Caenorhabditis elegans: one gene and its partner. The protein of the gene in region 1 interacts with the protein of each later gene in a pairwise test. Each region holds a gene or a part of one and is shown in the gene's direction. Other genes may lie near its edges. The genes, in order: mms-19 and pgk-1.

The links.
Region 2: the proteins of mms-19 (region 1) and pgk-1 interact in a two-hybrid assay, tested with the Caenorhabditis elegans proteins (2 studies listed by BioGRID).

The regions. Positions count from the first base shown.
Region 1 is NC_003283.11:5,508,821-5,527,568, forward strand, and holds mms-19 (MMS19 nucleotide excision repair protein), read left to right. Parts: upstream 1-5,527; coding exon 5,528-5,637; intron 5,638-5,687; coding exon 5,688-5,791; intron 5,792-5,838; coding exon 5,839-5,986; intron 5,987-6,049; coding exon 6,050-6,135; intron 6,136-6,182; coding exon 6,183-6,370; intron 6,371-6,712; coding exon 6,713-6,874; intron 6,875-7,119; coding exon 7,120-7,336; intron 7,337-7,380; coding exon 7,381-7,527; intron 7,528-7,575; coding exon 7,576-7,784; intron 7,785-8,435; coding exon 8,436-8,628; intron 8,629-8,678; coding exon 8,679-8,893; intron 8,894-9,538; coding exon 9,539-9,715; intron 9,716-9,766; coding exon 9,767-9,888; intron 9,889-9,961; coding exon 9,962-10,298; intron 10,299-11,022; coding exon 11,023-11,190; intron 11,191-11,243; coding exon 11,244-11,407; intron 11,408-11,460; coding exon 11,461-11,482; 3' UTR 11,483-11,638; downstream 11,639-18,748. Other genes in the region: Nuclear hormone receptor family member nhr-47, read left to right, coding at 500-785, 839-1,015; hpo-15 (Amine oxidase domain-containing protein), read right to left, coding at 1,215-1,389, 1,439-2,223, 2,727-2,964, 3,196-3,352, 3,402-3,570, 3,622-3,681; hir-1 (receptor protein-tyrosine kinase), read left to right, coding at 14,934-15,056, 15,951-16,022, 16,079-16,264, 16,318-16,500, 17,024-17,096, 17,532-17,632, 17,684-17,770, 17,822-17,900 and 2 more.
Region 2 is NC_003279.8:3,858,421-3,873,212, forward strand, and holds pgk-1 (putative phosphoglycerate kinase), read left to right. Parts: upstream 1-9,120; 5' UTR 9,121-9,131; coding exon 9,132-9,275; intron 9,276-9,330; coding exon 9,331-9,455; intron 9,456-9,501; coding exon 9,502-9,826; intron 9,827-9,877; coding exon 9,878-10,537; 3' UTR 10,538-10,689; downstream 10,690-14,792. Other genes in the region: tfbm-1 (Dimethyladenosine transferase 1, mitochondrial), read right to left, coding at 1-59, 750-872; guk-1 (guanylate kinase), read right to left, coding at 1,264-1,379, 1,446-1,669, 1,732-1,870, 2,047-2,163, 4,078-4,132; hcp-4 (HoloCentric chromosome binding Protein), read right to left, coding at 4,515-4,837, 4,888-5,037, 5,083-5,642, 5,695-6,680, 6,733-6,855, 6,905-7,111, 7,161-7,367, 7,473-7,517; coq-4 (Ubiquinone biosynthesis protein coq-4, mitochondrial), read left to right, coding at 10,801-11,096, 11,151-11,237, 11,282-11,434, 11,485-11,644; clec-53 (C-type lectin domain-containing protein), read right to left, coding at 13,083-13,190, 13,623-13,742, 13,787-13,836, 13,929-14,034, 14,090-14,148, 14,193-14,581.

The DNA.
Region 1 (18,748 bases):
CTGACGTTACCAAGGAATTATGAGAAAAATCGGTGGCAGGCTTAATGTGCCTAGTAGACGCCTAGGCATTTTGTTAATTTTGGAAGGTATGGTCAGTGGGGACCTAGTCTAATTACACTTATTATATATAGTCCAACATGACAAAATACCTTAATTAAACAATTTAAAAACGATCTTAGATTTTTCTCAATTTTAAGTTTTGGGTTTATGTTTTGTTCAACTTTTGGCAAATTGCCAAATTTCAACAATGTACAGCTTAGAGCTTTTGTGCAATTTCGAGAATTGATGCAAGTTCGGACCTCCAGAGTGTTATGTACAATCAATACAAAATTAAAGTATAAAACTCGAAGAAAAAAATTATTTTTGGTCGACTTCCAAAATTACAACACTTTGACTGTAAATTAAAATTTTTCAGAGGTAAGAGATGAAAATGTAGTTTCAAACTATTGCCCTACTGACGATATTCCATGTTTAACTTCAATTAAATTTTGATTTTCAGCAATTCGAGTCTTTCTGGAATAACACCAGTCCTCACAATGATGATCGATCTTGTAATGAAACCATTCCGCCAGTTGAACTTCTCCACGACAGAATTCGCTCTACTTCAAGCAATCATGTTCTTCGATCCAGACACCGAAGGACTCGATTCGGCATCACAAAGAAATGTTGTAGCAGAACAGAAGAAACTACTTGCAGTGCTCTTTCGTCATTTGCAAAAGGCTTATAATCCGCAAGCGGCAAGCGAGAGATACGCTTCAATTATTCTTCGAATGCCATCGATTCGGGTACGCGTTGAACTTTCGATCTGTCTGATTAAAAAATTCTATAAATATTTCAGAGAGCCGCTGCAAAAAAGAATGAATCATTGCAAGTGCTGGATATGCTTCAAATGCATGAAATTAATTCTCTAGTGAAGGAAACATCGCTCGGTCCGAGACCTTCAAATGTTCAACAACGAATGGGAATTGGTGGTGGTGCAGGAGGATGTCTCACGTTTCCATCTCAAGAGGATTGAGGATTGAGGATTAACTTCAAATCATTGAATCTACATATTTTTTGATCTCATTAATATCATACTCAGGATTCCATCAGTATAAATTGCCTAGATAAAACCAAATAAAGAATGTTTATTGATACTCAACGTTATTAGAAAATATCGAAAATTTAATAAAAAAACTGAGTTAAATCCTCAAGGTATCTGATTAATCTTATTTTTAAATAGAAGTTATTGGTTGTGAAATGATTGGGATGTTTCTCTGATCATTGATCAATGTTTCATCCACTACTTCCAATTTTGTGGTCTGATTCCATCTTCCAAACCAGTCATTGACAGCTCGATCAGCTTCTCTGCGACCACTCAAATAACCTCCGATGGTTGTTTGGAATAGTCTGAAATTGATTGTTTAGACTTTTTTCTCTTATCTCTGAAATAGTATACCTGTGATGAGTTGCTTCACCGGCAAACAGAACCTTTGGTCTTCCTTCCAGTTTCACTGGAATCGCAAGTTGAGAGTGAGAAATATGGGAGAGCGCTTGCACTTGAGTCATGTAGGAATAGGATCCTAGAAGCAACTCGTTCTTGGTCAGCTGAGTTCTGATAATCTTGCTAGGCTCGGGAATACTTTTGTCGTTGTACATGTCTCGCATCAGTTTTGTAATTCTTTGCTTCAACTCTTCCTCCGACATGTTATCCACCAACTGATGACCTCTACCAGCATACCATGCACTCAGAACGTTCGGAGCCCAGTCGACAACTTGAAGGATCGTAGTCTCATCTTCAAATGCATCCAGTTTATCTCTAATCATTCCCTTAACAGGGAGAGGAGCGATGGAGTAGGTGTTGTTCGACCAAAATGGAGTTTCCCATTCGAAGAACACCTTGCAAGATCCTCCGAATCCGATTTTCTCGATGGCTTCAATTTTCTGTCGTGGCAAGGGTGGTGTGAACATTTTATGATGATATTTCTTGAGAACTCCTAACGAAGAAGTCACAATAATATAGTCATATTCCGTTGGAACTGCACGATCGGAAACTGTCAATTTGATTTTTCCAGTGTTTGAATCCAGATTGATATTTTCAACTCGACTATTGAAATTGAATGCCTTTCTTGGAATCGGTGCGGCAATATCGTCCAAAATCGCTTTGAATCCAATTTTGTTAGTGGCAAATGATTCACATTCCGGTCCATAGTCATTCCACTCTTTTAGAACGTGAACACTCAGCTGGAATAGACAATTTTCAAAAAATTTCAAAAATTCAAAAATTGTCCCAATCACCTGCCAGTATATTACGGAAACGTAGAAACGCGTCTTTTGAAATCAGGATGCAACCGCGCTCCACGACTAAATTAAAATGCTCCGCCCAAAAAGGTTGGGTCTCGTTAAGGATTGGCTCAATTCAAAAGCCTTCAATTGCTTTCGCCAATTTCTCCAAGCATTTTCCGGTTTTGATGTCTTAAATTATTTTGATGTCGAAATTTTTGTCGAAAAAATTAAAATTAAAAACCTTATTCACATTTAAACTTCAAATGCATTTCATTTTTAAAACATAATTTCGAGCCCAAAAAGTTATCAAAAACGATGAAGAACCTAACCAAAAAAACGGAAATATACTTTAAAACTTTCTGACTATAAGTTCACGAGTTTGCTACCTAACGAGACCCAACGTTTGAAAGGCGGAACGTTTTTTCTGCGTCCCCATAATTGATATTCAAGTAATCACTTACAGTACTCCAATCAGCCGCCCACTCGAATTCCCAATACGATCTGAATGATCTTGCCAGCGAATCAAAGACATTTGTCTGTTGATCCGTAAAATTCTGGCTCTTCAAGAAATGCATGTAATCCAAAGTGAAGATTTCTTTGAAAGTGTAGCGTCTTGCAGTCTTCTCATCATGTTTTGCGATGCTTCTGTATTTTGGATCAAGCTTCGAAGTAAAGTCCAAGAATGTCTTGATGTCTTTTCTGAATGATATTTGTTGAAATTATATTATAGTCTCTAGAATCGTTAATTTTTTATAGGTCACAGAAATTTGTGTGCATAAACGGGGTTATTTAGAAATAGTCTTTAATCTATAAGCGTTATCTCTGAATTTTATTTCCGACCGACTGTAATGATCAACTGATTCACTAAAATTAACATACAGGTGGCAGAGTCACGAGTACTACAAAACAAACAAATGAATAATAACTCACTCCTGAACATTTTGATTTCCAAAAGCAAAGTGTGCATTGTCGACATGTGCAGTGTCAGATACCACATCGGCCAGAAGTCCAAGACGGTTGGCAATTTTGTACAACGGGTTTTGTGCTCCATTTATAAATTGGGCTCCCATTTGTAGAAATCCATCCTCTGCAAATTTTCAATTTTGAGGATTAAGATTACAGTATTGAGCACTTACTGTACGGTATGGCATGAATTCTGCCTCCGATCCGGTCGAGACCTTCGTAGATATCAAAATCGTCAATTCCAAGTTCAATCAGTCGACGCGCGGTCGATAGTCCGGAAATACCGGCGCCGACGATTGCTATAGACGGTTTTATCGACGAGTCCCCCTTTTCTGATTCTTTCTGAAAAAATGAATAATTGATTAGTCAGCTTCTATAAACTGTCTAGTTTACCTGAACCGTTATTCCACAACCAATGATTACAATCAGAACAATTCGTACGCTTACAGACATTGTGAGCGTATGGTTGTAAGTATCCGAAAGCCAAATGAACTGCCAGTTTCTGCGAAGTCAATGGTGCTTTTCAATTGAGAGCACCAGTTTCACAAGCGTCTGAGACAATATTAATTTTATTTTTTTTTGCTGGAAGAAGAGGAAAATGGGGGTGGTTTATCAATATACAACAATGTGCCCGCCTTCTCATATGAGAACTGAATGACATCAATATGATAGTTGCAAACATCTTGTGAGAGTTATGAGTTCATTTGTTCAAAGACTAAGTGTGATTGAAGACTAACTGATAGCAAAATTGGATGTGGGTGATAAGGGAAGGTACTGTAGAGCCTATATGGGTATTTTCTAGATCACCGAATTGGTGGCAATTGCCGGAAGTATAAATTGGAAAAATTGGTAGACTGTTCTTGCGAAATATTGATTTTTCAGGCACTAAACTTTTGAAATAGGGCCTTGCGGGACATGCTTATTTTAGTAGGATTATCCAAAAATTTCATTTTAAAAATTAATATTAATCAAAAAAATTAATAAAAATGTAGGAAAATACTCGTTTAATCTGAAAATCGTATTCATTGTTATTGATTAATTTGAAATTTCCTCAATTAATGTCTGGAAGTTGCAGTTCGCGTGAGTAAAGAAGAATTTCAGACATTATTTTAGGTAATTTTTTGAAATTTGATAATAATTTTTTAAAAATCTGATTAAAGATAACAGAATTTTCATGAAATATTTAAGCAGTTTTTTTTCAAATATTTGCCTAACAAATTACCCGGTCTTAACACGACAAATTTTTGTTAAATGCCGAAAGGTGTGCGCCTTTGAAGATTACTGTAGTATCAACAGTACTTTTTTGGCTTCTTCGAAAATTTCATTGATTTTTTTATAGATCTCCGATAAAAATACATCAATTAATCAACAGAAAAAAAAATTTTGTAAAAAACTTGAAAAAATTAAAGCTCAAAAATTATAGTACTATTCTAGCTTAGGTCTCGACACGACAAATTTTTGTTAAATACCAAAATTTGTTTGTTTATCGTGACATGACAGTTTTCGAATGAATTTATTTGTATTGAACAACTAAAAAAATCGACAAAAAATCCTGCAACAAAGAGAGATGGAAATTACAGTACTCTTTAAATGGGCATTATTTTTTCGCATGTACCTACAATTTATCGTGGCGAGACCGGCAATCGTATTGAAGAAATTTTGTTTTAAAAATTTCCCAATAGAGTGATGATAAAATGTTGCTACTTACATCCAAAAAGAAAGAAGTTGTGCAATTGCAAGTGAGAGTGAAGACGGAGCCAAGTTGATAGGGTTATCACAATTAACCGGCAAATGTGGGAGTGCTTGTCTTTGACAAACTGTATGTCCGAAGGTCACGAGAATCTTATTCAATTATAGTGTGTCTAGGTTGGAAATATTGATAGTTTTTGGGGATTTATGTAAATTTAAAATTTGTGTTCAATTTTTCTCATTTGATTTTAAAACAGGAGTTCACAATATCTCAATGAGAAATAAACTGACTAAAGGAAAATTACTGTTTTTAGAAAATAAATGTTTTTCTCTTTTTATTTTCAACTAAAAATATAGTAAAAGTAGTAAATTTGGTTTATAAAACTGCATTTCGTTAATTTCTGTGCCTGAAAAATTATTTTCGTGGCAAGACCCGCCAGTCAGCGTTAGGTATGCGCCTTTAAGTTATACTGTAGCGTTTATATTCAATTTTTCTCATTTTCAATCGATTCGCAACTTAATTCTTCGATAACGAAGCACCTTTCCTTCTTTGAAACTTAATTTTTTATATTATTAAAATTTTCAGCGAGTAATTGAATTATTTTTACAGATGGGATCAGAAATTGACCAAAACGATACAGATTCATCGACGCAGGAATGGTATCGCCTGCTCGTTGTTGAAAAATCAACTACTCTTTCTGATTTTATGACTTCTAAAAGGTTTTAGAGTTCAATTTTAAAATTATTTAACTGAAAAAATGGCTTTTCAGAACAAAAATGGTGTCGGATTTTCCAGAAGAAAGAGAAGAAGCGATTGAAGAAATAATTGAAGTTATCAGCACGTTTCCGATGGATTTTCTACAAAAAGATGAAGGTTTAATTATTTTTAATTTTATTTGACATAATACTTTAAATTTTCAGTATCGCTGCTTCTGAATTACTTTATAAATTCAATCGAATCGTCTGCGCTAACTGGCGGAGCCGTGATCCGCGGAGTTCATCACCTAATTTTGAAATCTAAAAATCTTCCGGATAATTTTGAAGTCTCACTTATTCGAGTTTTATTTAAGTGGGTTTTTTTCTTCAGAAACTATTTTTCAAATGTAATAATAATTTTATTTTTATTTTGCAGAGAAGGAAATGTTCAAAGTTGGGCACAAAAGGAACGGCAGCTGCAGTATGAGATTCTCATTTGGTTCTTGAAATATCGATTATCATGTAATATTCAAATTTCTAACTATTTATATGTTTATATTCTGTTTCAGTCTTGAAAGGCCTCGGCCCAGATTTTTTGGCTACATTTATGAAAAGTGTATCCGGAGAGCGTGATCCGAGATGTCTCGTCCACATGTTCTCGGCATTCCTGGAAGTTTCGAACAATTTCACACTCGGACCATTCACAGAAGACATGTTTGAGACGATAGCCTGCTATTTTCCAGTCGAGTTTAAGCCGGTAAACTAGAAAACGATGGAACATCCTGAATGGGGGATTTACTTCCAAAATAGTCTTGCATTCTGGAAAAAAAAAACGAAAAAATCCAACTTTTAAAACGCGATTGTTCAATTTTCGCAAAATTCCCTCCAAAATGATTTTTAAAAAATTGGATTTTGGAGGGGAATTAGCCAAAATTGATATATAAATCACGGTTTTTAATGTAGGGATTTTTATTTTTTTTTCACTATTTTTTCTTATTTCTTTGACGGTTTTTCTGAATGTTTATTTACCTAATTTCAGACTAAATTTTTCAAAAAAATTTAAGCCTAATTTCACAATTTCAATATCCTATTTTTCCAGCAAAAAACGGATACAATTACACGAGAATATCTCGCTGCTTCGTGTGCTTCATGTCTCGTATCATCCCCATCCTTCGCTCCATTCTGTTTTCTTTTCATCGACGAAAAGCTGAATGACGATGACTGTTCCGATGAAGAATACGAAGATGTTCTGAACCTTTTGGTATGATCATAATTCCTTCCAGGAGCTCGCGGCAATTCTACAGACTTTATAATATGTTTTATTTCAGTTGAAACATTTGAGAAAGTTCTCAAAGAATAGAAAATTGCAGGAAAAATACTATTTTTGAGCACTTTTTTTAAAAATTATTTACTCCAACTGGAATAAAATTTATTTTCAGAAAAAGCAAATATTTTTATATACTCTAAATATCACCAATTTTGATTTTAAAAAATTCATATTTTCAGATCCTAGCTTACAACCGCTTTCCAGCACAGAAGAAGAACCTATCACTTATTGAGCCACTAATCGGAGGAATTCGAAAAATTGGACTAAACCCGAAGAATAAGGGAGAAATGCAGAAATATGTTTCGCAGGCATTTGAAGCGGTTATCAAACTGTGCACAAAATCTTCTGAAACGAATTCGAAAGCGTTGGATGGAATTGTTAGTTCGATTGTTGAAGGTGAATTTTTTTGTCAATTGTACTGTTTTTTTTTTGAATTTCAGATTCTGAGCCGTTCGTTTTACAAGCAGAAATGGGGCTCTGCAAGAAAGCACTAACACTCCTCCGAAGCGCATTCAAAAGTCTCCCAGACAAGAATTCACGTCAAATTTTCAATCAAGTTATTGCCTGGATTCTCAACCTGATTCAAGGTTGGCATTGAACTATAAACTTCCAAAAAAAATTATATTTTTTTGCAGGCGACAGTGTAAATGCAGCTGGAAACCGAGCAGATATCGTACAAGAAGGTCTTGAATATCTAGTAGAATGGATACAACTCGCTTCAGAATACAAAGAACTCTCAATTGAAACACTCGCGGTTTTTGAGCAAAGCATTTTCGAATCATGCTCTAGAGCTCGGGAATTTAAACCACGTGAAGCTATTACTGCAATCTATGAATGTGCATCTGTATGTTTTTAACTTTTCAAAAAATGTTCATTAAAAGATTAAATGATAGAAAATCGGCAATAATGGCCAAGAACTTCTTTTAAAAAATTTATATAATTTTCTAAATTAATTTTGCTCCAAACTTTGCTAAAAAAAAATCATACATTCTCGGAAACTTCAAAAAAAAGCCTGCAAATCGATTTTTTAAATTTTATTCACAGTTTTTCAGCAAATTTTTTGAAAAATTGAAAAACGCTGTTTAAAATTATTGTTCTGAATCAAATAAAAACCATTGAATTTAGCCAGAAAACGCGCGAATTTCGAAACTCAATACAGTTTTTGTTTGCAAAATAAAAAATTGTAAATAGATAATTGTTTTGCAGCACCGTTTTCCGAAAAAAAAATTGTTTTCAATATTTTTTCAAAAAAGGCTTTAAAAATTAACAAACGGTGTTTCAAATTAAAAAAAGAAGACAAAATTAAAAATCAAAAAAATCATATTAATTTTCGAACAAAAACGCCGAAATGCTGAAATTTTTTTCAGTATTCACTTTTGTTATGACAAATTTGAAAAAAAAATTTAAAAGTTTAATAATTTTTTTTCAGTTATATTCTATCGTTTTGGTTCCTATTTTTTCTCTATTCCACCTTAAAAATTGAATATTCTTTCAGGTTTACTTTGAATCGGATTGCGCCTCCGATGAATTAATATCCCAATGCCGAAGCTATATCGCACTTGCTCTTCGTACACCAATTGACACTGATTCAGATTTTCAAAGTCTTTTGAAACTTATCAGAATATACTCTTCAAAAAATTTCGATCAAGTTGAGATTATTCTCGCTGACAATGAAACTAATTCTTGGAGTGAGTTGGCTTTTTTATTTTATAAAAATTTGGCATTGAAAAATTTCCAGACGCAATGAAAGTTCTACCAGTTCTATGTGCAATTAGCTGCTCACAAAGATGGAATTTATTGAAAAATAAGATTGTCGATGAACTTGGATCTACAATATCATCGTCTACAGAAATCAGTTATCTAATTTGTTATGTGCAAATGATGGAAAAATGCAAAAAAGATCCTCAATTGTTCCACCAACAATTTGAAGTTTTTGAATCAGTCTTGTACAAAGTAAGCCAGATGCAAAATTTTGCAATTATTGCAGCAAAAGTACGGTACCCGGTCTGTCTTCGAAAAAAAATTATATTTTTCTTCAGGGAAAATCTAAAAAGTGAAAAACAAAAATTTTCGATTTTCCGGAAAATCAAAAAATGGAAAAAAAAAATTCAGAAAATTTACCATAAAACTCAATTTTTTGTCAAGTTTTGTATATGCTGATGAGAAGAAACATAGGAAAAAAACAAACAAAACATTTCAATTTTTGATTTTTAAAAAATTGATTTTTCTATTTTGCGGAAAATCGAAAAAAATCGTATATTTAATACAAACATAAAATTTTATTTTTCCCCCTTTTTTTCCAGAAGAAATCGAAAAATCTATTCAATGGCAGTTTGTATAAAAAGAAGAAAAATTACCAAATTTTTTTTGCAAAATTTTGCGCGATTTTTTTTCGAAAAATCAAATTTTTATTCGAAATCTCGGACAAACTAAAAAAAAACAAAAATTTTAGATTAAAAAAAAAATCTAAAAACGACAAATTTTGATTAAATGCAAAAGGGTGAGGCGCAAACTCTTTTGCACTAAACACAAATTTATCGTGTCGAGACCCACGGCCACCGTATTCTGCATCAAACTGTAATAAGCATTATAATTCAGACCGATTGCAATGAACCTGTGAGCGTTTCATATCTGATGCAATCAATTTCCCTGCTACTTTCTGAAGATGATCATCAGAAGTTTATGAATCAAACAACAACCAGATATCAAAGTCTTGAAGGATCATCACTTGACAATTTCAATCAAAAGTATCGACTCGCATATCTCCAAAATAAGGCAATTTAACTGGCTCATGTGAAATAATAAAACAATAGATTCAATTTTCAGAATACAAATGATTTGAAAACTATTGCCAACTTGAAATTGCCAGAACGGACGATACGTCAGCTATTTTTCGCGATTTGCAACAGGGAGGCGGAAAACGAAAATAATAGTGAAATTCCTGAACAGTTGAGATTTTTTTTAATTTTTAAATTAAAAAAAATTAATTTTTAAAAGTATAAATTAAATACACTTTTCCAGACACCATATCGCGGAAATCAAGGCGAAATTATTACGAAATGCACCAAATTCTTTATCTGCATTCGAGCAATTTCTGACAAACATTTCTGGAAGCACTGAAAGCCCTTTTGAATATCTTTTGGATTTTGATAGTTTCGATTCGAATCCTGATAGATGCAGATATGAGACCGCAAGCCCTCTATGGAGACAACGAATTTTCTGTCAAATTGTTCCGATTTTCAAAAGAAAATTCGAGGAGCCTGGATCCCAGAAGCACGTTCTTGTCGAGATGCTACCACATCTTTTGACATTCGCAGTTCCATTGGATTTTCAGCAACTGAAGAAACAATTCGCTATGGTTTGTGTTCGAGAATGACATTATTACCCAAATGCGAAATTTTCCGACTTTTACGCCAAGAATACTGTAACTGGTCTCGACGCGACACATTTTTTGGTTAATACAAAGTGGCATGTGCCTTTGAAGAGTACTGTAGTTCCAAACTCTCGTTGATGCTTCTATGAAAAAACGAAGAAAACTCCGCAGTAACGAGAGTTTGAAATTACAGTACCCCTTGAAGGCGCACACATTTTTTTTCAATTTGTCGTGTCGAGACCGGGTACCGTAGTGGGCTGCAATTGCCGTTCGGCCAATTGTTTGTCGAAAAATTCGACAATTTGCCAATTTGCCGCAAATTTTTCATTTTCGGCAAATTGCCGGTTTGTCGATTTGCCGGAAATTTTCATAATTTTTTGTCGAGAAATTCGACACTTTGCCAGTTTGCCGGAAATTTTCATGATTTTTGTAGACAAATTCGTCAGTTTGCCGATTTGCCGCAAATTTTCGATTCCGGTAAATTGCCGGTTTGCCGAATTGCCGGAAAATTTTTTCAATTCTGAAACTCTGAAATTTCCAAAAAAAAATGTACAAAACCACAATTTGCCGATTTGCCGGAAATTTCAATTCCGGCAATTTTCCGATTTGCCGGAAAAAATCGTTTTCCACCCACCCCTAACCTATACATACTGCAATTCTCCTGTCCAACTAATTGAAAACTACAGTAACCCATCGAAACTTGTTTCAGTTGTTGCCAGTTCTAATTCAAACAATCGGCATGGAAGATGTCATCCCAAGCCACGTCACACGGACTATTCCAATGTTTCTTACAATCTCTGAACCTCTTCAGCCAAAAGATCTCGGAACAGTCGTCAAATATCTGTGCTCCATTACAAGGGACAACGACTCGAATATGGTATTTCTGTGTATTTCAACGTCCGATAATTTGATTTTTTTGTTGCTGTTCAGACCAACTTGGAGGATGCGTTGAATGGATTGAACATTTTGGCGCGACGACAGCCACCGAAGTCATTGCATTCTGAAGTGCCACTTGTGGTCACGTCAATCAACAAAATCTTGGGTCACAAAAAGAGGTTGCTTCGAATGATGGCGGCTGATGTGAAAAACAATTGGTAATGGGTGTTTGAGTCGACCAAAATATGATAAATGTGTTTTTTGTTTTCAGGGAGATGGTTATCACCAAGTAGATGGACGTCGAATCAACTCAATTCCGGGTTATTAACGACAAACTAGATATACTTTTGTTTTGTCCTAAATTGTTTTTTTGTTGTTTTTTTTTTCATTTTCATTGTTCGTCGTATTTTGTATTGAATTTTGCTCGAATTCTATGAATCAGTTTTATTATTCACTACTTCTATTGCTATATAGAATATTCATTAATGTCCTAAAGATTCAAGAATTGAAACATTTTTCAGATCTTGTAGTTAAGTTATCGACTCATTTTGCAAATCTTGAGAAAGGTTTTGAGATTCAAATTGATTTTCCGGGAAAATATCGATTTTCTGACATTAAAAAAAGCGATAATTTGTGAAACCCTAGAGAGCCCAAAAATGTATTACGCATTTGTGAACATTTTTGATTTTTCCCGTTCCCGGTCTCGCCACGATTTCTTTCTAATTTAAATATCGAGGCCTGCGCCTTTAAGTATACTATACATAGTACAGTACCCCATTTCCCGTTTTTTTTTCACCAAAATAATAATTTTGTTGAAAAAAAATTCGATTTTTGCATCGAAAGTACCGACACCCGGTCTCGACACGATAATTTTTTAATTAAAAAAGTGTGCGCCTTTAAAAAAAGTAAAACTGTAGTTTAGAACTTTCGTTTATGCGAAGTTTTCACAATATTTATATATTTTTCAAATAAAAGTGTATTAATTTAATAACGAACTGAATAATTTTAAAAAATCGTGCGGAAAACTATCAAATTTCTGCTGCAACGATAGTTTGAAACTACAGTACTCATTAAAGGCGCACTACTTTTCGAGTTTAGCAAAAATTTGTCGTGCCGAGACCCTTTACCGTATTTTTGGCGCGAAATTTCGCGTCTATGTTATATTTCATTCGTTGAAAGGACGAAAAAAATTGGATAAAAGAATTCATTACTGGGTAATGTAAAAGGCCTATAATTTTTCGATTTATCGATATTTCGAAAAATATCCCTAAGTTTTGGAAATTTTTATTATTCCTAGTTTTGTAGGAATTCCTAGTAAAAGTTTTCTCATGTCTTTTGTAAACATGATAAGCAAATTTTTTTTTAAATCTCGATTATTTCTGGAATAAAAAAAAAATTTCGACAACACCCTGGCGTAGACCTACTTCACATTCCTGCCAACTCAAAAAATAAACCTTAAAAATTCTCAGCTTGAACTGTATTGTTGAAAATAAACTGATTTCCCACACAAAACATTATAATAGAATCACATAATCATGAACATGAATAAATAGGCAAAGAAAAAATATGATTGATGCCCAGCAGTACCCAGGCCGTTATTCTTTCTCACCCCACAAAATACAACAATACCGATTCGAGAACATGCGCGCGCATTGCGATGTGACCGACCGGTTCGATGTTTCCTAACACTGAGTCTTTCGCTCTCTTATAGGTTCTCGCTCTTTTTGCCATTGCGCACAAATCGATTCTTCATTTTTATTTACTGTTCTTTTCACTCTCTGCCTGGGGCTTTCTTTTATGATTAGCGGTTAGGCGAAACTCTCCACTTTTCATCACTTATTGATTGACGTTCACAACTTTTAGATAAAGATCTAGGTTACAATAAATTGTGACTATCTTGAGAATTCTCTACCTACAGTATCCCACGTCTTTCCTAAAATCACTCTGAGCAAAGACCGGAATCCCCCCGATAGCTTCTCCCTCGTCACTCGTGATATGTAGTATTGATAGAAATACGACCTCTACTGACGCCAACTGAACCAGTTATTGACGTCAAATCATCCATGCGATGACTCATCACTCCCCGCCGAATCAGTTGATTATCAAGCAGTAGCACTGTTGTTAGTTGGTGAGGTAGTGTTCATGAAACATTTGGTTGGATTTTAACCTAATAGGTTTTCACTTTCTGAATTTTTTGCTTCGAATTTGTTTCATTTAAACATATCAGTTGCTAACTTGATGACCTAGTTCTCTCTTGATCCAAACTGATGTCCGATTTTTTTTCTTTTTTTTACCTGGACCGCAAATATACAGTTATCTATTATTAAGAAATTTGTCTCAAAGCAGAACAAATTTTTAAAAAAATTGTTTCTACTTTAACGGCTTATATCTCGGTTCACCTTATATTTACTGAAAAGCATTTTAAAGCTAAAATGTAGAGAAATATTTTGCACATATTTTGCCAGTTGGAAATTATTTGGTAAAACCTAAACGAACTTATTGTGATATCCATGAGCTGTCAAAGAAAAACAACTTACAGTATTGAAAAATTCGGTGTTTTTTGGCAATTGGACACCTTTTCCAACTTTGTTTTTGAACAGCTAAAGTATACTTTTTTCGGAAAATTTTAATGAAACATACCCCTAAATCTACCAGCTTTAATTTTTAGTGTCTAGTTTTTAAATTCCCTGCCAAATCGTTTACACACATTTTTAAAAATAAAGTTTCTTACCTATTTTAATTCTAAAAATTCAAGCTTTTGAAAATTACAATATTTCAAAATTTGATCGTCTGACTCTATTTGTGCACTGTTGTTTATTTTACGAACATTTTTATCCTACGTAACTGTAGCCTACAAATAAGTTGAAAAATTTCTTAAACATTGTCTGCTGAATTTACAAATTACCGTATTTTCCCTACTCCGCTTTGGCAGCTTATATTTCGGTTCTCATTGGTTTTCTCAAGAAATTTGCAACTGACAAAGTATGTGAAAAATATTTTTATATACTTTAATAGTTCAGCATTTTTTGATAAAGCCATCGACAACCAAGATATAAACTGTTAAAGTGGAGAAATGAGGGTTCAAGACTAATAGGGAAAATAGAACAGTTGCCTCTAGCTTTTCGGTTTTGCAGATTTTTTAAATTATTCATTTAAAGTATAAATATTGTAACATTTATAGACTTTTGTTAAAAATTGCCTTGAAAAGTTTGAAATTTGCTTGAAAACTTGAACATCTGACACTCTACTTTATTAACACCGCAACCGCCATTCATTTTTAACATAGGCCTCACATCAGTTCGCAAAAGTCAAGTTCAAGTACATTTGTCCACTACCACTTTTTCATAACATATCTGTCTGTATCCATCTCTCCGTCTCTCATATCTCTCTGCTTTCCTGGTATCTAAATCGCATCTGTTTCATCTTTTATTGCATTTCGATCAAGATAAACTGGGTGAATTCGCGCAGAACTGTCCTTTTCCTTCTTCTCTGCCGCCATTTCAGTTATGCCCCTTAATTTCCAATTTTATCAGATTCTTGCGTAACACTTCCCAAAGTCTTCAAAATTTCCTTTTTCTAAAAAGTTGACAAAAAGGTTTCCTGTTGCCCATGCCATTTTTGTATTCAAAAGAGACTGTATCAGCAGTTTTGTTTTGATGGCTGCACTCTTTTGTCAACGTTGCCCTGTCTTTTGTCAAAAAATACCTCAACTTACAGAATCAAACCTATACCTATGCAAATCAAATGAAACTTCGATTTTTTGTATTAATAACCGGACTTTTTTGTATCTCGAACCAGGAATTGGTGTCGAAAGCTGAAGGATGCTTCCTGCGATGTGTTGCACAATGTGTCGCGTTTGTTGAAAAGGTGAGAAACGAATTGTTTAGGTTTCAAAATACAAACGAAACTGAATTGCACTTTTTGTGAATAAGATTTTTTAACTGTGGGGTAAAATCTGTGGAGTTTCAGCCCCAAATTACAGAAACTGTCTCAATGAAGGGTGTTGCTTTTCCGTTTTTTTTTTCAGGAAAATTGAAAGACTGAAAATTATTTACTTTTTTGCAAAAAAAAAATGTCTTAACATTTGCCACAATTTGCCATAATCAAATCAAATATCAACAAAAATTAAGAAAAAATGATAAATTTAGCAGGGAAATGTCAAAACTAAGTCATTCATTTGAGCGGAAATTCAAAAATAATTTGGGCCTTTCGAATTTTTTCAGCAAAATTAAAAAATATATAAATACTTTAAAAAAATTAACTATTAGAAAAATACAGTTTTTGAGATTTTTTCTGTTATTTAGGGCAATATTCTCACAAAAAACGTCGGTACCAAAATTTCTACCTTCCGCCTGCCCCGTGCCTAAAAATACGCCTGAACAGATCTTCGTTTCACTACACATTTTGTTTGATTTAATTTGAAAAATCGAAATATTGCAAAGCTTGGCAATTTACAAACAATACTGTAGTTCAATTTCTGAATTCTGCAGTTATTCTTTTTTTGCAAAAGGTAGTCTGTATGTCTACAAAAACGTCTACCACCTGCAAGACACCACAAATTGATTCTAGGACAAGGAATACACGGAGTAACTCGAGCCAAAGTAAAAATATTGACTTTGCTGAAACACTATGACGTCAGAAGTATAGCAACAAATATTCCGGACACTTTGTTTTTACTGTGGAAATTTAAAATTCTTTGTAGCTGGGGAAATTTGTGTTGTTTTGAAAAAAATTATCTGAAACTGTTTTAAATGTTTTCAGAGCGATTCTACACAACAGTCTTTAGATGCTTGCAAACCACAATGCCAGAAACTTAATAACAAAAACTTATGTGTAAGTTTATTCATTATAATCTTCAATATTCTCCCTATATATGTATTCCATTTCAGTCAGACAATACTTGCTGGAGCACGTGTAATGGAGAATTAGTCCCTGAAAAAACACTACCAGCACCGACGAATCTGACACTGAAAGGTGTCCGTGGACTCTCGTGGAGCCCGGTGCCTGGAGCTGTTATGTATTATATCGGATATCGAACATTGAACAGTAAAACGTTTACCAGTGACGACTTTGTGGTGAGCGACAGTTTTTTTTTGGGTTTTTTTTGTTAAATTAAATTTTCAATCAGATTACGGAAAAGCAAACCGTCGATCTGAGCACTTTGACAAACATCGATCCATGCTCCGAACTCGAGGTTGCAGTTGCCGCGTTTTCAGAAGATGGAATTGGAAATGAGAGTAAAGAATTGAAGATATCAAGTCCAAAACCAACAGCCAATCCAAAATTGGATTTATTGGAATTACAATACCTTGTAAGTGATAAGTGAACTTTGTGTTCGTGGAATGGAAAGAGATAGAAAATGCAAAATCAAAAAGAGTTCACAATTAGAAATGACGCAATCGATGATGTCCCGATGGAATTACATTTGTAATAATTGTGAAACCGAGAGAATATTGTAAAAGTGAAAAAAGGGCAAAATTCACACGTCGAGAACTCATTTAATGGATTTGGGCTAAATAATAGTCCAACATGACCAAATATCATAGAAATATCATAGACACTCTACAAAATTTTCAAAAAAAAAAGAACAGATTTTTCAAAACTTCCAGTCAAAGTTTTGGTAAATTGCCAAAATTTATAAAAAATGTAGCCATTTTGGAAAATGTTGAGCGTTGCTGAAGATTCGAACCAATATTATGCTCAATTATAAATATCAACTAAAAATAATTAGAATATTAAAGTCTTAGAATATAAATTTTTATTTTTCGATTTCCGAATACTTTACAATTATGTAATTGGTTTTTGTAATGGCATTCATTCTTCAATAATTTCAGAATACCACCCTCGTCAGTGACTTCTACCAAGCCAATGCAACTGTACACGTTGAGTTCCGATATAAAACAGATCGTAAGTTGTTCTGGCCAAGTTTGGTCCGAAAAATATAGGCTTGGTTGAGAAGTTTGGGCAAATGTTTAATCTAACTCCTGCCAAAGTCCTACTAAAATTTAAAATTTCATAAAAAAATTTTTAAGTCAAAGTCTTGCCCAACTGTTGCCAAGAATTGCCAACCAGACCCGTGCAGCACATTTACAAAATCCCAGTTTCTCATCGTTGCCTTGATGGTTTTTTTGAAAATTTATGTAGAAGTATAGAGAAATATTAGCATGTATTAAAAGTAATTATACTTCCCTTTTAAAATTTCGAAAAGTTGCTCAAAATCTGCCTCAAAGTCGCAATGCCAATTTCTGAACCAAGTTTATATTTTTTTAGCGAGAGTTGTTGAATTGAGGTCTATTATGTCATTTTTCCTGCCTATACCTTATTCCAATTTGTGTGTTTCAGCTTGGTTCCTTGGCCCGGACGATTTGGATGTTCAACCATTATTTCACCTGATCTCCTGTGTAGACCCAGATCTAAGCCAAGGAATTCCAGTTCCAGATTTTGTAAGTTTCCAGTACTTTTAGTACGGTTTTGTCCACTACGAAATGTTTAAGGATGTTCACGTGAAAAACAGTACGATCTCTACTTCAATTGGATCCGATATGATGGATCGAAAGTGTCGTTACGTGTATTATTTGCAGGTAACTTGGATTTTTAATGGTCTCATTTAAAAATTAAACTTCTTGTTTCAGAGTGTAATGAGCAAAAAGTGCAATACAATGACAGAAATGCCATCCCCACCATCTTCAGCTTTACAAACAATTCAAGTTGGTAAGTTCTTCAGGGATTTAAGATTTAACATTTAAGATTTAAAATTTTAAAGTTTTAAACTTACCCTAAAAGTTTCAGAATGCGACATTGTAAAAAATGCGCCATGTGTCAAAGTTCCCAGTTATCAACCGCCGCTTTGTGGAATGGTGGAAAATGTTGCATTTTCTGTTTTGGTAAGATTACTACCGTCTCAACAAGTCGCCAATTAAAAAATTTTCAGTCTCGTGACCGTGAAAATCTCAATGATCCAGCTTCCAATCTGACAGTCAATGTGACATTCATACCAGTTACCAGAAATAATGAAATGCCAACACTGTATTACATTGGAATTTTTGGAACTGCTTCTGAATATCATACAAAGGAAGAGGAAACATTTTTGGGTGTAAATATTACTCACGTTATTGGGAAAGAATCAAGCTGTACTGGGTTCGATAGTTCTGGGAATTGTTTGGTATGTGATTTTGATTTCGAAAAAAAATATATAGCAGGTTGAATTTTTTTACTTGTTTAAAATTATAAGTTTACATAAGAAAATATAAAATGGTGCAATTATCGAAAAATCGACAATTCAAAAAGTTCCAAACTGAAATATCAAATTACATAAAAATTTTTAAAATATTCCACAAAAGTGCAAAAAACCTACACTTTTATTTAGTTGAGAATTAAGCTCCAAATCGCAGTCGACATATTAGAACGTCTAAAACAGGTTTTGAGTAATCATAAAATGTGATTCTTTTGGAAACCCTGAAATTATAATTTTAGTGATGAGATTTTGAAAATTGTTCTCAAAATCTACTTCTTAAAATGGATTATGCCAGGAATTTGTCAAAATACATTTATAGTATGAT
Region 2 (14,792 bases), on another chromosome or scaffold:
GGACCCGGTCCGATCTCGATTACCCAGTCTTTTTCGATCACTTTTGCGTGTTTTGCTATCTGAAAATTAATGAATTATAGAAGATTTTTATATTTGATTCTTTGAAATTTTCAAAAATTGCGATGGGAATTAAAATTCGAAATGTTGGAAAAAATTTCTAAAAGTTAAAAAAAATTAATTGAAAAAATAGGACTTAAAATTTGAATTTTTTAAAAATTTTTTAATGTTGTTTAGTTGCAAAAATGGGACTTAAAATTTGAATTTTCAAAAAAAATTTAAAAATTTTTAAAGACTACAGTATTTTTCTTGTTTATCTAAATACATTTTCACTTACTAATTATAATTTTTCAAGAAAAAATGTTGAAACTACCACACTTTTTAAAGGAGCACGCTCTGTTTCAACTAAAATTACCGTACAAACTCTGAGAATGCGTATTGCACAACATATTTGACGCGCAAAATATCTCGTAGCGAAAATTTAGTTAAATGACTACTGTAGCGCTAGTGCCGATTTACGGGCTCGATTTTCAAAAAAAATTTTTTTTTTAATTGTCGAGCCCGCTACAGTAGTCATTTAAAGAATTACTGTATCTTTCGCTACGAGATATTTTGCGCGTCAAATATGCTGTGTAGTACGCATTTTCAGAATTTTGAGTTCCCGTAATATTTTTGATTTAAAAACCGGAAAATTTTTAATTTTTAAATTAATTTTTTGGAATTTTGCAAATAAAAAATTTCAGAAATCCAACCTTTCTTGTGATATTCATATCCATTAAATAATTCTGCGAAAGAATTTTCTTCGCTCTCAACCTGTACATATGGATGAAATCTCGTAGTGCCGGGAGCGGCGGGAGACGTGAAGCAGAAGCCATCTATGAAAATAGTTCAGATTTTTTTCTCTAAAAAAATCCGAATTCTCACTGAAAATAGTATCTGCCATTTGGAACAGTTTTTTAAAAACCAAAATTATTGTATTCAATACGTATTAATACGAAATCAAATAATTATTATGAAATGAATGAGACAAAAAGAAAATAACTTGAGAAGTTGACTAAAGAAGACAAAACTGAATTGCAAAAAAAAAGGAGGGAGCAATAAATAAAAAAAGGGAACAAAGTTTGTTGGAATAAAGCAAATTTGAAAGAGGTGTATTGAAAGAGAGAGATAAAGAGTACCTACCACAACCAGAAGACACTCAAGTTCATCAAGACAGAAAAAATTGGAGGAATGACTGAATAGAGACAATTTTTAAAAAATAATTTATTATTTTTTGGAGGTTTTTTCGAGATCATCACGAAGAAGATCGACGAATTCCTTATAGGCACGTTCCAAATCATCGTTCACAATCACTTTGTCGAAGAGCGTTGGATTTTTTTCGACTGAAAACAAATTAAATTAAAATTTATATTACTTTTCTTTTTTCAAAAAAGGCAAAAAACGCTCACTTTCAACTAAATCCTCAGATGCATGTTGAAGACGCTTCGAGAGGCTCTCCTCGGTTTCGGTTCCTCTTGCTCTGAGTCTTTCCTCGAGAAGCTTGATGGATGGGGCACGGATCAGAATGTATCTGGCGTCGAGATGACTATTCTTGATGTTTCGAACTCCTTGCAACTCAATATCCAGAACGCAGATCTTTCCGCTATTTTCGATTTCTAGGACGGTTTTCTTGCTGTAAAAATAAAAATAAATTTTTTTGTTCTGTTCCAAAAATATTCGATTCCAAAAACCAACCTAGTTCCATAAGTATTTCCGCTAAACGTGGCGAACTCCAGAAACTCGTTATTTTTAATCATTTCCTGCATCTTCTCCTTTTCCGTGAAGTAATAGTGTTTTCCGTGCTCCTCACCGGCTCTTGGCTGTCTCGTTGTGTCTGTAAAACTATTTAATTTTTTTGGAAATACACAAAATGTGCCCAGACAAACGAATTTTATACCGGAACTTTACAAAAATTACTCAAAAATTTTTTATGGTGATTAAAAATTTAAGATTTGAGCAAAAATGAGGTTTTTTCTCGAAATTTGGAATCAAATTTTGCCAAAAACTCACGAGAAACGCTGAAAGCAAAGCTATTTGGGTATTCCTGCATGGCTCTCGTCAAAATCGTACTTTTTCCTCCACCCGATGGTCCGGAGAGCACAATCGGCCGGCACGGCATTTTTCGAACTGAAACGAAATCGAATTATTTTTTTTTTAATCGAGAAGTTTTCTTTTCTGAATGTACCGAAACTGTTGAATATGACAGATGTTAGCTTCATGGCGGCACGAAAATTTTGTTGTTAAAAATGAACAAAGTGTTAGTAGAGAATCGAGAAAGACTCGACGCGCAAAAAAAATAACGTGACACAACACAAAAAGTTTATTATTTTCAACCAGCGGCGCTATGGAGTGACAGCAGAGCGCGTTTGAGCGAAATTTAAAAGAGAGAAAGCTTTTGGCCTAAAATTGTTTTACTTGCGGCGGGAAAATTCAAACATTTTGAAGTGGGGAATTGATGGAAAGGAAAATTTGATTTTGTTGGTTTCGCTATTACACAGCTGCAAAAATACGGTACCCGGTCTCGACACGACAAATTTTAATAAAATGCGAAGAGTTGTGCATCTTTAAAGTGTACTGTAATTTCAAATTTTTGTTGCTGCGGAATCGAGATTTTTATTTAAGTGTTTTTAATGATATTCTTAGTTTTAAATATATTTTTAAAGAAAAACTACGGCAATTGCAATTTAGATTGATGAAAAATCCGCAGTAACGTAAGTTTGAGATTACAGTACTCTTTAAAGGCGCACACCTGTTTGCAGTTACTAAAAATTTGTTTTTTCATGAGAAAAAAACCGCAAAATTATTTATTCAAGAGCGGAGATCACTTTAAAAATGGCTGGAAAATGAGTTATTTGTAGATAAGTTGAGAAAAAGCGTTTTCTCAATTTTATACCACATATATCTCACAAATCTGCTCTCAAAACGCTCAAAATGTTCATTTTTTTTTGTTAAATTAAATTCCAAAGCAGAAGATAAAAGCTTTTGTTATCAATTTGATATCTACTGGAGAAGAATTGGAAAATTGTGCAAACAATATCCATCACAATCAAAGTGAATGTGTGTGTGTGTGGGCGAGAACTGAGGAGGAAGGGAAAGCCTCGACAACCACGTTGCGCATACATTCTCGCCACGTCGCCTTTGCCTCGTTGTCTCCGCACTCTTTTCCTTCACAGTCCGTGCTTCCGCTTTGGCAAGGCGAATGGTCCCGGAAAACATTGGAGAGAACGGAGAGACGCAGGAAAAAAACGGGAATATTATCAGTGTCACAGCGGTTTTTAGGGCCATGAACTGTCGTTTTTTGTTACCTTCTCGGCTCCGATTACGTCGTTGCTTTTTGGCATGATGAAGAAGAAATAGGGTGTACATAGGCGAAATTTCAACAGAAAATGGAAAAAAAACACTCGAAAACTGATTCCTAATCCTGATTTTCAATCCGCGTCACGAGAACGGATTAGACTATGGTGAGCAAATTACACATAGATCTCGGAGAGAAAAAAACTCACAATAATCCTGAATATAAGTCATTTTCAATGAATTTTGTTCACAAATTAGGGAGGAATTGTGCCGCTTTTCTTCACTCTATACCAAAATTGATGACACACTAAAATGTTGCAATTTGTGGATGACCTTATCAGCAGCGTGTGCATTAGGTTATCATGTGAGTGCCAACAAAAGAGGACATATATGTATAGCGAAAACAGATGCGGGTAAAAAAAGATATTTCTGAACGAAAACCTAAAAAAAGTGATGGTAGTCTTTTTTGTGAATTGAAAATTGATTTAAAACGATTTTCAATTAAAAAATCGAAAATAAAACTATAAAATTCGCTAAAAACCAAGTAATTTCATTTAAAAATCCGAGGAAAACGAGGAAGAATTCTCAGAAGACTACCATAAACTTTTTTGCGCGCCGAGACCCATCTGAATAAATCCGTGCGCCTTTAAGAAGAATCTTAGAATACATGGAAAAATCTTGTAAAGTGACAACATTTCAAAACGAAAAGCTGATTTTTTTCTGGAAAAGCGCGCAAAAAAGACTTACTAAACGATTGACAGGACGGCCGCCAAAACCAGGCGACACGGGAGGTGGCGTGCATGAATACCTCAACGGGCCGTCGCTTATTTATACCCCTCGCCTCTTCGTAAATATCCAAATCTTATATATCCGGTATATATCACGCTTATGACGACGACTTAGTGATAAATATGTGTATGTGTGTGTGTGGCTCAGCCGGATATACAACCCATTAGAGCAAATTGAAAATCGCTAATCTGAATTTTTGCTAGGCATATGGAGGATGTCGCGCAAATTAAAGAAAAATAAATAAAATTTATTGGAACAATTCACCAGATATAAACTAAACATAAAAAAGGATTGACAGATTCAAACTTTATTCCCTTTAAAATTGCATTATTTACAGGTATTGGGATTAGATGGGTTTTTTGACATTGCTAAATAGTGGAGCAATAGTTATTTCTTCACATATCATCTTCTTCATCGTCGTCACTATCGTGACGTCGCCCACTTCTTGCATTCTGTCTTTGTTGCTTCTTTTCCTGCGCCAAAGCCCTTTTGTTGGCCTTATCTTTCAGCTCTCGCTCGGTTGCTGTTCTGACGTCAGCAGTTCTGTAATAGCACAAACGCGGATCCTTGATGACAACGGCCGTCACACCAGTCAATCGCTTGCAGCCACTAATCGGCGAATTGACATAAACCGGTTGTTCTCCAAGCCACGAACGAACAGGCTTCACGCGGACACGCGTCGATCTTCGGACACCGTCTGGAGCATCTTCTGGCTTCACTGAAAATGTTTAAAGTTTCGAATGATTGCATTAATTAATTAAAACTCACTGAGTTGATGCTCTTTCAGTTTCATACCCCTGTGTGTTCTCGGACGTCTGTTTCCTTTAGAATTCGGTTCAGGATACCATGTTTCGTCAACGAATGTGTCGTTTGGGCGTCTTCTCGACGAACTAGCAAGACCAAGAGCAATCGAATCACCTGAAATTGTTTTAAAAACGTTGTTATTTGTGAAGTAACACTCACTAAGAAGCCCGAGTCTTCTAGACGACTTTTTCCTTGGATCTGGACGTGCTTCCATTTCTTCTTCGTCAGAAGAAGATCTCATTTCATTTGTATCGTCCTCTGGAAAATCAATGGCACTGATATCATGTGCAGGCTCTTCGTTGACAGTCAGCGCATTCAATTCGATGTTCAGGGAGCGATTGCTTGAATCTGCTGCCTCATCCTCACCATCGACAATCACACCACCATTTTCAGATCTTTTTTCAATGACCTCCGTCGCCTGATCCTCCTCATCATCCTCCAAAACCATGCGAACAGCGGCTGAAGAAGTTGTAGCAGTAGTCTTCGCAGGCGTATTCTTTCGTGAAGTTTCCTCAAGCAAACGATTAGCATCTTTCATATTCATCCTTTTGACGAGTGAAGCGAAAGTAGGCTGTTCATATCGTCGTGCCGGGGTCACTCGATTCACAGAATCAACGATATCCATCCTAGTCGGTGTTGAGAGCAGTGCAGCCCGAGCACATTCGACATTGTTGGTGGGTCCAATATTACGGATAGAATTATCCGTGTGCCGAATCGATCTGGAAAATGGAGAAATAAGAATAATATTCCGCAATTCGAAAAAAAACATACTTTGGAGTTGCGGCTTTCGATACATGCATTGGCTCCACTTTTTCTGGAACTTCTGGAACCGGCGAAACTCGAGATGCATTGAATGTTGGAGAGATATAAGACGAGCCAATAGAATCCGCTTCCATTGTTCGTTCTTCAGCTACCGATTCCATCTCAATCGTTCGCTCCTTATTCGATTCAGTACTAAGTCTGCTGGTTGCCTTGATTCGTGGCGGCGTTTGAACCACCGGTCTGATCTTTTTTCGGGGATGTTTGAAGAAGTTGGCTCCCGGCGATTGAATTTCTTCCTTTTCGAGCATACTGTTGTGAAGAGGATTAGAAATACTGGCATTACGTCGTTCTCGCTCATCCGAAGTGACTTTCGACGTTCTCCGTTTTTCTCCTCCTTCCATCGTGTTTTGTGCCAGTACTGGAGGCTTCACACCAACACTCGTGGTTCCTTGCTCGTATGCATCTCTTTCTTCAATAATAAACGTCTTTTGAAGAGTTGAATCGTTATTTTCATCTCTGTTAGCTACGTTGAAAGTTCTTTGAAGTGATGACTCATCTTTCTCGGTCGGCTTTGTGAACGTTTTCTGTAGAGAGGAGTGTTCTGCATCTTTAGCCACTGTGACCGTTCCCTGCATTTCCGAGCTCTGATTCTTCTCGATCGTCACCGTTTTCTGAAGTTCTTCAGGAGCATCTTTAGCCACCGTGAAGTTTCCTTGCAGCTGAGAGCTTTGATTCTTCTCGATCGTTACCGTTCTTTGAAGCTGTGATTGCTCTTTTGATGCATCTTTAGCCACCGTAAACGTTCTTTGCATTTCCGAGCTCTGATTCTTCTCGATTGTCACCGTTTTCTGAAGTTCTTCAGGAGCATCTTCAGCCACAGTGAAGGTTTTTTGCAGCTGAGAGCTGTGATTCTTCTCAATCGTGAGAGTTTTCTGGAGTGTTGACTCTCTCTCCTCGAGAATGGTTGGGATAACGACAGACTTGGTGTGAACAGTCTGAAACGATATAAAAGTTAGTTTAAATATCTTTAAAACAAACAAATTTTACCACTCTTTCAGCATCTAGTCGATCGGTATTGACGACATGTGAAATATCAAGCGATCTCAAGGACCTCATCGACGTATCACTCGAGCTCTTGGGAGTTGAACAACTTAATCCAGCTTTTCCACTCTGAAATTATAGATTTATTAAACTATGAACACGCAAATTCATCTCATACCCCTCTGGAATTAGCAATTGGCGAGCCCATCATCGACTTTTCACTGATGTGTTTCGGAAGCGCCGGAATGGCAAAAACCGAAGCGCTTCGGACATTTTGATTCACAGTGTTCTCGCTGTCGCTCTCACATTCGGAGTATTCACGACAAGCAATCAACTCTTTGAAGGTTTTCGCTCCGTACATTTCCTTTTCGAGACGTTTTCTGGCCTGAATATAGTTTATTAGGTGTTGAAAAGATTTTGTGACTGAAATTTACATTGTTAAGCTGTGTTTGTTTCCTTTTCTCCAAAATAGCGAACATCTGCTTCTCAGATAGTCCCTGTTTTCTCCATTCTCGCTCCTCCAAATTTGCACTATCATTCATCATCGATTCATCGACGATAACTGTTGGTTCCTCCAAGTACGACGGTCTTGTATCGTCCAAGCCAGCCTCACGAAGAGCAACGATTTCAGTGATCATTTTCTGAAATAAACAAAATAAGTAAGCAATCAAATTACCATAATGTGGAACTTTTTTTTTGTAAAAATCAAACATTTGTTAAGAATTTTAAAAATCTGAATCACTTACTCGACCAGGAACAATCGTACTGCGGGTTCGCGGTTTTCGATTCATTCTGCAATTTGATATCGTTTTGAAAAAAAGACAATTTTAAGAGGTGAATAAATATAAGCAAACTTCTCGATGTCAAATGGGAGCTAAATTTGAAAGTGGCGGTTTTGCATTGTACAACGGAGCGCGTTTGGTTAGAGGGGGAAGGCTACGAGAAGAGGATAGAGGAAACGTATTTATTGTTTTCTTTTCGCATTCAAAAGGCAAGAAGGTATTATGAGCCAAATATTGATTGATTTTAAGGGAGAAAGACACAGACTTTGTATAAAATAATAGCCGAACCAAGTCAAACGCAGTTTTGAAGAGAGGCCAATCGATACGCTTTGGTGAAATAAAGAAAAATGAATAATACTTCATCGAGATCTATTTATGCTTGTTTTCACGAATTTCAACAAGGCCTCCACGTCCCTAACAGTAGAAAATACTAAACGCAGAATTTATTAGTAGTTTTCTAAATAAAATTCGTGCAATATTAGTTGAGCGGTAGCTCTTTAAAGTACATATTGATTTCAACCAAGTTCTTCGAAAGTTATTTCAAGCGCGTTTTCATTTTTTTTTCTAATGATCCGCAAGAAAATAAAATTTTAAAACGAAAAGAGAAAAATAGAATAAAATCAAAGCCTAAAAATCAGACTCTAAAAATGATTTTTCCCGCCTGTCGGTATCAAGTGTACGGTATTCGTGGTGAGACCCGCGCCCCCGCGCAAAAAATTTTGAACTTTTGCGGAGATGTTTGCACAGACAGCATTTAACTTAACGCAATTTTGCATGCTTTCTATACTTTCGAACATTTATTGAGACCCGAAGAACTCGGGGGATGTCCAATTGGGGGGATTACCAACTCGGGGGATTGGCCTCACCCACAGAACCGTGGTTTGCAATACGCCCATTTCTGCAAATGCCGCACGGTTTTAAAACTGTATTTTTCTCAATAGAGCGAGAATTAACAAGAAAAAATAATTTTAAAACCGTGCGGCAGTTGCAGAAATGGGCGTATTGCAAGCCACGGTTCTGTGGGCGGGACCAATCCCCTGGTAATCCCCCCAATTGGACATCCCCCGAGTTCTTCGGGTCTCCATTTATTTTTTGTTTTTGCCTTTTTGTCTTACAATTTTGAAGGTTTCCCTTCATCGATTTCATCCAAAATTGAGAAAAAATGTTTACAAAATGTATTATTTTCATTTCTTCCAATTTTCTAATTCAGATTTTCCCTAAAACATTTGTGATTCTTGATTTTTTACTTTTATCTATATGAGTGACGTTGTTTTGACAGCATATTTGATCAAATTTCTAGAAATGGTTTGTTTTATCACTACTGTTCATGCCTTCTTAATTTCAAATGATCTTCAAACATTTATATTTGTGTTTTCGGTTATTCTTCATGTGTTTTTTATTTGATTCGTTTCAACCCATCCAAATGCGCGGTCTCTCGCTCGATCTCTCGTCTCTCTGCGTTTCCAGTGTAAAAGAGAAAGGCGAGCAACAACTTCTATCATTTCTCACGTCGCTCGTCAAAATAGTTGTCTTGTTTGTTTCTCAATTTTAACATTCTCTCCTGTTTTGACCATCTTTGAAATTTTTGAAAATCAATATCAAACAATTTCAGCATTCAGAAAAATGAGCTCCCTCAACAAGTTGGCTATCGACCAGTTGAACCTCGCCGGAAAGCGAGTTTTGATCCGTGTTGACTTCAATGTCCCACTCAAGGATGGCAAAATCACCAACAATCAACGTATTGCTGCCGCTGTTCCAACCATTCAGGTAATCAATTCAAATTTATTTCAAACAACATTTTCAATAATATTCAAAATTTCAGCATGCTCTTAGCAACGGAGCCAAATCTGTCGTTTTAATGTCACATTTGGGACGTCCAGATGGCAGACGCCAAGACAAGTACACCTTGAAACCAGTTGCTGAAGAGTTGAAGGCTCTCTTGAAAAAGTTTGTTGTATAATCTGATTTTAAAAAAATTACAAATGATTTTCAGAGATGTTCTCTTCCTCGACGACTGTGTCGGATCAGAAGTGGAGGCTGCATGCGCCGATCCAGCTCCTGGATCAGTCATTCTCCTTGAAAATCTTCGTTATCATCTGGAAGAGGAGGGCAAAGGAGTCGATGCATCCGGTGCCAAGGTTAAGGCTGATTCAGCAGCCGTAAAGAAATTCCGCGAGTCTCTCACCAAGCTTGGCGATATTTATGTCAATGATGCTTTCGGAACCGCTCACAGAGCCCATAGCTCCATGGTTGGAGTCGAGCACTCACAACGTGCAAGTGGATTCTTGCTCAAGAACGAGCTCTCCTACTTTAGCAAGGTAATTTTTTCCTCCAATTTTTCATATTGAATTTTATTATTAAATTTTCAGGCCCTCGACAACCCAGCTCGTCCATTCCTGGCCATCCTTGGAGGAGCTAAGGTCGCTGACAAGATTCAGTTGATCAAGAACTTGTTAGACAAGGTTAATGAGATGATCATCGGCGGAGGAATGGCCTATACCTTCTTGAAAGTTGCCCAGGGAGTCAAGATCGGAAACTCTTTGTACGACGAAGAAGGAGCGAAAATTGTGAACGAGCTTCTTGAGGCTGCCAAGGCAAAGGGAGTTCAAATCCATCTCCCAGTGGATTTCGTCATTGCTGACAAGTTCGCCGAGGACGCAACCTCGAAGACCGTCACCGCCGAGGAAGGTGTTCCAGATGGCCACATGGGACTTGATGTTGGGCCGGAATCTTCTAAGATCTTCGCCGCTGCCATTCAACGCGCCAAAACGATTGTCTGGAACGGTCCAGCAGGAGTATTCGAGTTTGATAAATTCGCCACAGGCACCAAGTCATTGATGGATGAAGTTGTCAAGGCCACCGCTGCCGGAGCCATCACAATCATTGGAGGAGGTGACACTGCGACCGCCGCCAAGAAGTATAACACGGAAGATAAGGTGTCTCACGTCTCAACTGGAGGTGGAGCCAGTTTGGAATTGCTCGAAGGAAAAGTTCTGCCAGGAGTTGATGCTCTTTCGCCAGCTCAATAATTTTCTAATTTCTATTGTTTATTCCTTGCCCAATAGTGTATTTGTATTTATTCTTTCTCTCTCTAAAAACTTTCCCACATTAGTCTTGAATTGTTCCCAGTGATTTCACAATCTTCCATGTAACATGAAGTATAAATAAAGTGTATAACTATAGAATAAATTAAGAGTTCACTTAATCGTAGAGTTTTTTAATCGTAGAGTTCCGTATATCTACCAATACATTATAGTCATTTTCCAATTGAAAAAAAAAGAAAAGAAATCAGATGTCTGCTCAAAAGCTATACGCATCGCATGTTCCCTTGGCACCGCTGTCTCGGATGCTTCTCGGGATTGGATCAGCAGTAACAGCGATCTCGGATCCAAAAAGAGGAGATATGGTGGCAGCGATGGGCGAAACTACTGCAATTGGACCAGTTTTAGAAAATATTCGAAAAAGAATGGAATCTGATGTTGTTGGAAAGCGACTTCTTCTCGAAAAACCAAGAATTTCAAATGGAACAATTGATAGAAAGTGGCTAAGACAGTTACCGGATGGAACATTAGGAAAATTGTATTCAAAGTATGTGAAAGTATATTAAACAACAAAAAAAAATTGAAAAACTTCAATTTTCAGCTTTCTCGATCGTTTGAACACATCTCCAGATGCTCGGCCCACTGTCAAGTATATCGATAATTTGGAGCATCTTTATGTTATGCAAAGGTTTTAAAAATCGACGTAAATAACAAAAAAATTCAAAATTTCAGGTATCGCGAAACACACGACTTCACCCACATCGCATTGGAGCAGAAAACGAACATGCTCGGCGAGGTAACAGTCAAATATTTCGAAGGAATTCAATATGGGCTTCCAATGTGTGTCACTGGTGGAATATTTGGAGGTGCCAGGCTTTTAACAAAGTAAGCAGAAAGAGAGACGAAACCATGAAAATAAAATTTAAAAATTCTAGAAATCGCCAAGAACTTGTCGACCGGAACCTCCCTTGGGTTGTGGAGCAGGCCACGAATGCACGATTCTTCATGGCTTTCGACTGGGAAAATCACTTTGAAAAGCAGCTCAGCGAGGTGCAGAAGGAGCTAAATATAACGCCATTATCTGTGAATATGTGATATAGATTTGATCTTGAATTTCTCAGTGATAATGAAAAAATGAATTAATTAATTTTTTTGGACCGGACATTAAATTTGAAAAATTTGGACCATTTAACAGTTACGGTATTACGATAACACTTAAATTCTGAGAATGCGTATTGCACAAAATATTTGACGAGCAAAATACTATCAAAATTTATGAATCGATCCTTCGATTTTGCAAAAATCGAAGGATCGATTCATAAATTTTGATAGTATCCCGTAGCGAAAACTACAGTAATTCTTAAAACTACTACTGTATCGCTTGTGTCGATTTTCGAAATGGATTTAAATATCGATAGAATACTAGAATTAAGCAAATATTAAGAAAATAATACGAAGCAACGCATTTTTTAATTTCGAAAATATTTCTAAATCGATACAAGCGCTACAGTAGTCATTTAAAGAATTACTGTAGTTTTCGCTACGGGATACTTTGCGTGTCAAATATGCTGCGGAATACGCATTCTCAGAATTTTGTGTTTACCGTAATACCAAAACGTTCTGCGACTGGCAGTTTAGTCAATTTCTTTGGATTTTGATAATTGTGTGATTTGTGAGAAAGGATTTATTGTACATGAAACTGAAAAAATGGAAAGAAACCGGTAATAGAGGCAAACGGGCAAGTTTTGGATGAGGAACGACGGGGGAATTGTGGAAAAATAAGCGAACTTCTCAATTATCGAATTTCAGGAGCTTCTGGACCTCCCGGAAATGGAACCGGATGTCCCTGATATTCTCTTCAGTAAAGGACATCCGGGATTTTGGAGAGTCCTCCAGGCGGTTGATATGATGATTTAAAGTAGCAACTTTCCTAAAATTATATTATAACATTGATTAGGAGGTGGCTTGTACAACTTACTGTTTTAGCACGTGTCTCAGCTTCTGCCGCATTCTCTTCAACTCTTTGGCCGATTGTCCAGTTGGGTTGCCATTGGGTGCCGTTGGGCGCTGGGGGTGAGTGGGAGCCACCCAGCAGTGGCAGAGGATGGTATTGTCAATTGTTTGGACTTTCCAGATGATGAGGGCCGTCGCGCCTAGCCAGGCTAAAAAAATATCTTGAGTGAGGAAAAAATTGATAGAAAATATACCACTTCACTCCAGGCTCATTGAAACGCCAGAGACGGGTAGGAGCACGCGAGAATAATGGCCGCATTTGACCGTGTCGACTTGGTGGTTTGATCTACCTAGATTTACGAGAATTGCGGGAATTTAGTCGCTCTCAACTGATTTCGCATGGTTAAGGACGTGCTGACGTCCCTTTTTTTGGGAAAGCAATTCCCGCATTTTTTGTAGATCAAATCGTAATGGGACATACCACGTGGCTCAATACAAATGCTATACATGTTACGGTAGGCTGGAACCGTACTGCATTCAATCAAATATTTAATTGAAATTATTTATTCAAATCAATTATTTAGTGAAGTGGAGCAATTTTACAAAGGAAAGCTCTTTGATCGTCTTGTGGCACGTTGTTCCATCGAGTTCCTTCGCTGTTTTTACCCTCGTGTGGGTCGGCGACTAGCTGAAATTTTAAAGGCCATTGCATTGAAATAAAAATTTATAAAAAATTCTGAGAATGCGTATTGCTCAACATATTTTACGCGCAAAATATCTCGTAGCGAAAACTACAGTAATTCTTTAAATGACTACTGTAGCGTAGCGCTTGCGTCGATTTGCGGGCTTGATTTTTGAAACTAGTATATTTTCGAATAGCTACAGTGATATTATTTTCTCATTTTTTTGCTTAATTTTAATATTCTATCGATAAATAAATGATTTTAATTCATTTAAAATCCTAGCCCGTAACTCGACACAAGAGCTACAGTAGTCATTTAAAAAGTTACTGTAGTTTTCGATACGAGATATTTTGCGCGTAAAATATGTTGAGCAATACGCATTCTCAGAATTTTCCCATTTTTTTTATTTTTCAAAAAAAAGCATTATTCGAACTCACAGCGGTCCACCATTCCTTATTCATATTATTTGGCTCTCCATCTCCCCAGTTAACATAATTGACTACTGATCCATCAGTCCATTGCCATTTTGAGTTTTGATAGACCAATCCAATCCAAACCTTAATTGTTTAATAAGTTGACAGTAAGAAAAAACAAAACGAACATCATCATTCCAGTCCTTATCTTTGTTCGTGATTCCGGCTTTTGAGAGACCTGAATTCAAGAATTGAATTTAGAAAGAAGTGCTAGGCATAACATATGCCTCCTAGGCACGCGACTAGGCACTTTAAGATTAAATTCCTCACCAACTAGGAACGCGTTCTCCGCAATAGAATGAATTGAGGCCAAATCTCCTCCATCAGCTTGGCAAGCGCTGCGAGCATCGTTAAAGTTGGTGAATTGGACAGTGGTCTGAATTTTCGAAGTTATAGTTTTTATATCACTAACAACATCTCTGTAGACGTACCTTGTAGCAGAAATCAGTAGTCTCAAACCAAGTGTAACCAGATGGACAATGACTTGGAACTGAAATATCAGAAATTAAAACTTTTGAATAAGTTTTCTCTTACTTGTTATAGTAGGACAAGTTGGAACTACAGTTGCAGCGGCAGAACATATAAATGGTAATTTATTCGTACAATTTGCAGTTTGCCATTTGGCAGTTCCAGTCTCAAGTTGCATGCAGGCAGTTGATCCAGGTGGAGTTGGCTGCCCAACTTTATAGTTTTGATAATCAAAGTTGGAACCATCAGTCCAATACCAATTTAATGGATTTGTGACGTCTGGAGCACTTGCTTGTGCTCCAATCCATGCTCCTCCGTCCATATACTTCTGAGCTTGACTTGACACAAAGGCATTGTCGATTGCATTATGGATGGATACTAAATGACCACTTAAAGTTGCACAAATTGATTCAGCGGTTTGGAAATTTACGGCAGCTCGGAATAATGTAAGACATCTGAAAATTAGGTCTTAATGGGAAAACGTTAAGGGGAAAACGGCAGAATACCGTACTCCATTAATTGTACTCCATTACTTTGAAATGTTTTTTTTCTCAGGTCAGATGGAAAATACCAATTAAAACTTAACTACAACACTTTTTAGGTACATCTGTATTATCTGTATTTTAGGTAAATCTGTACCATACCTGCTTTTTTACGGGCCTGCCT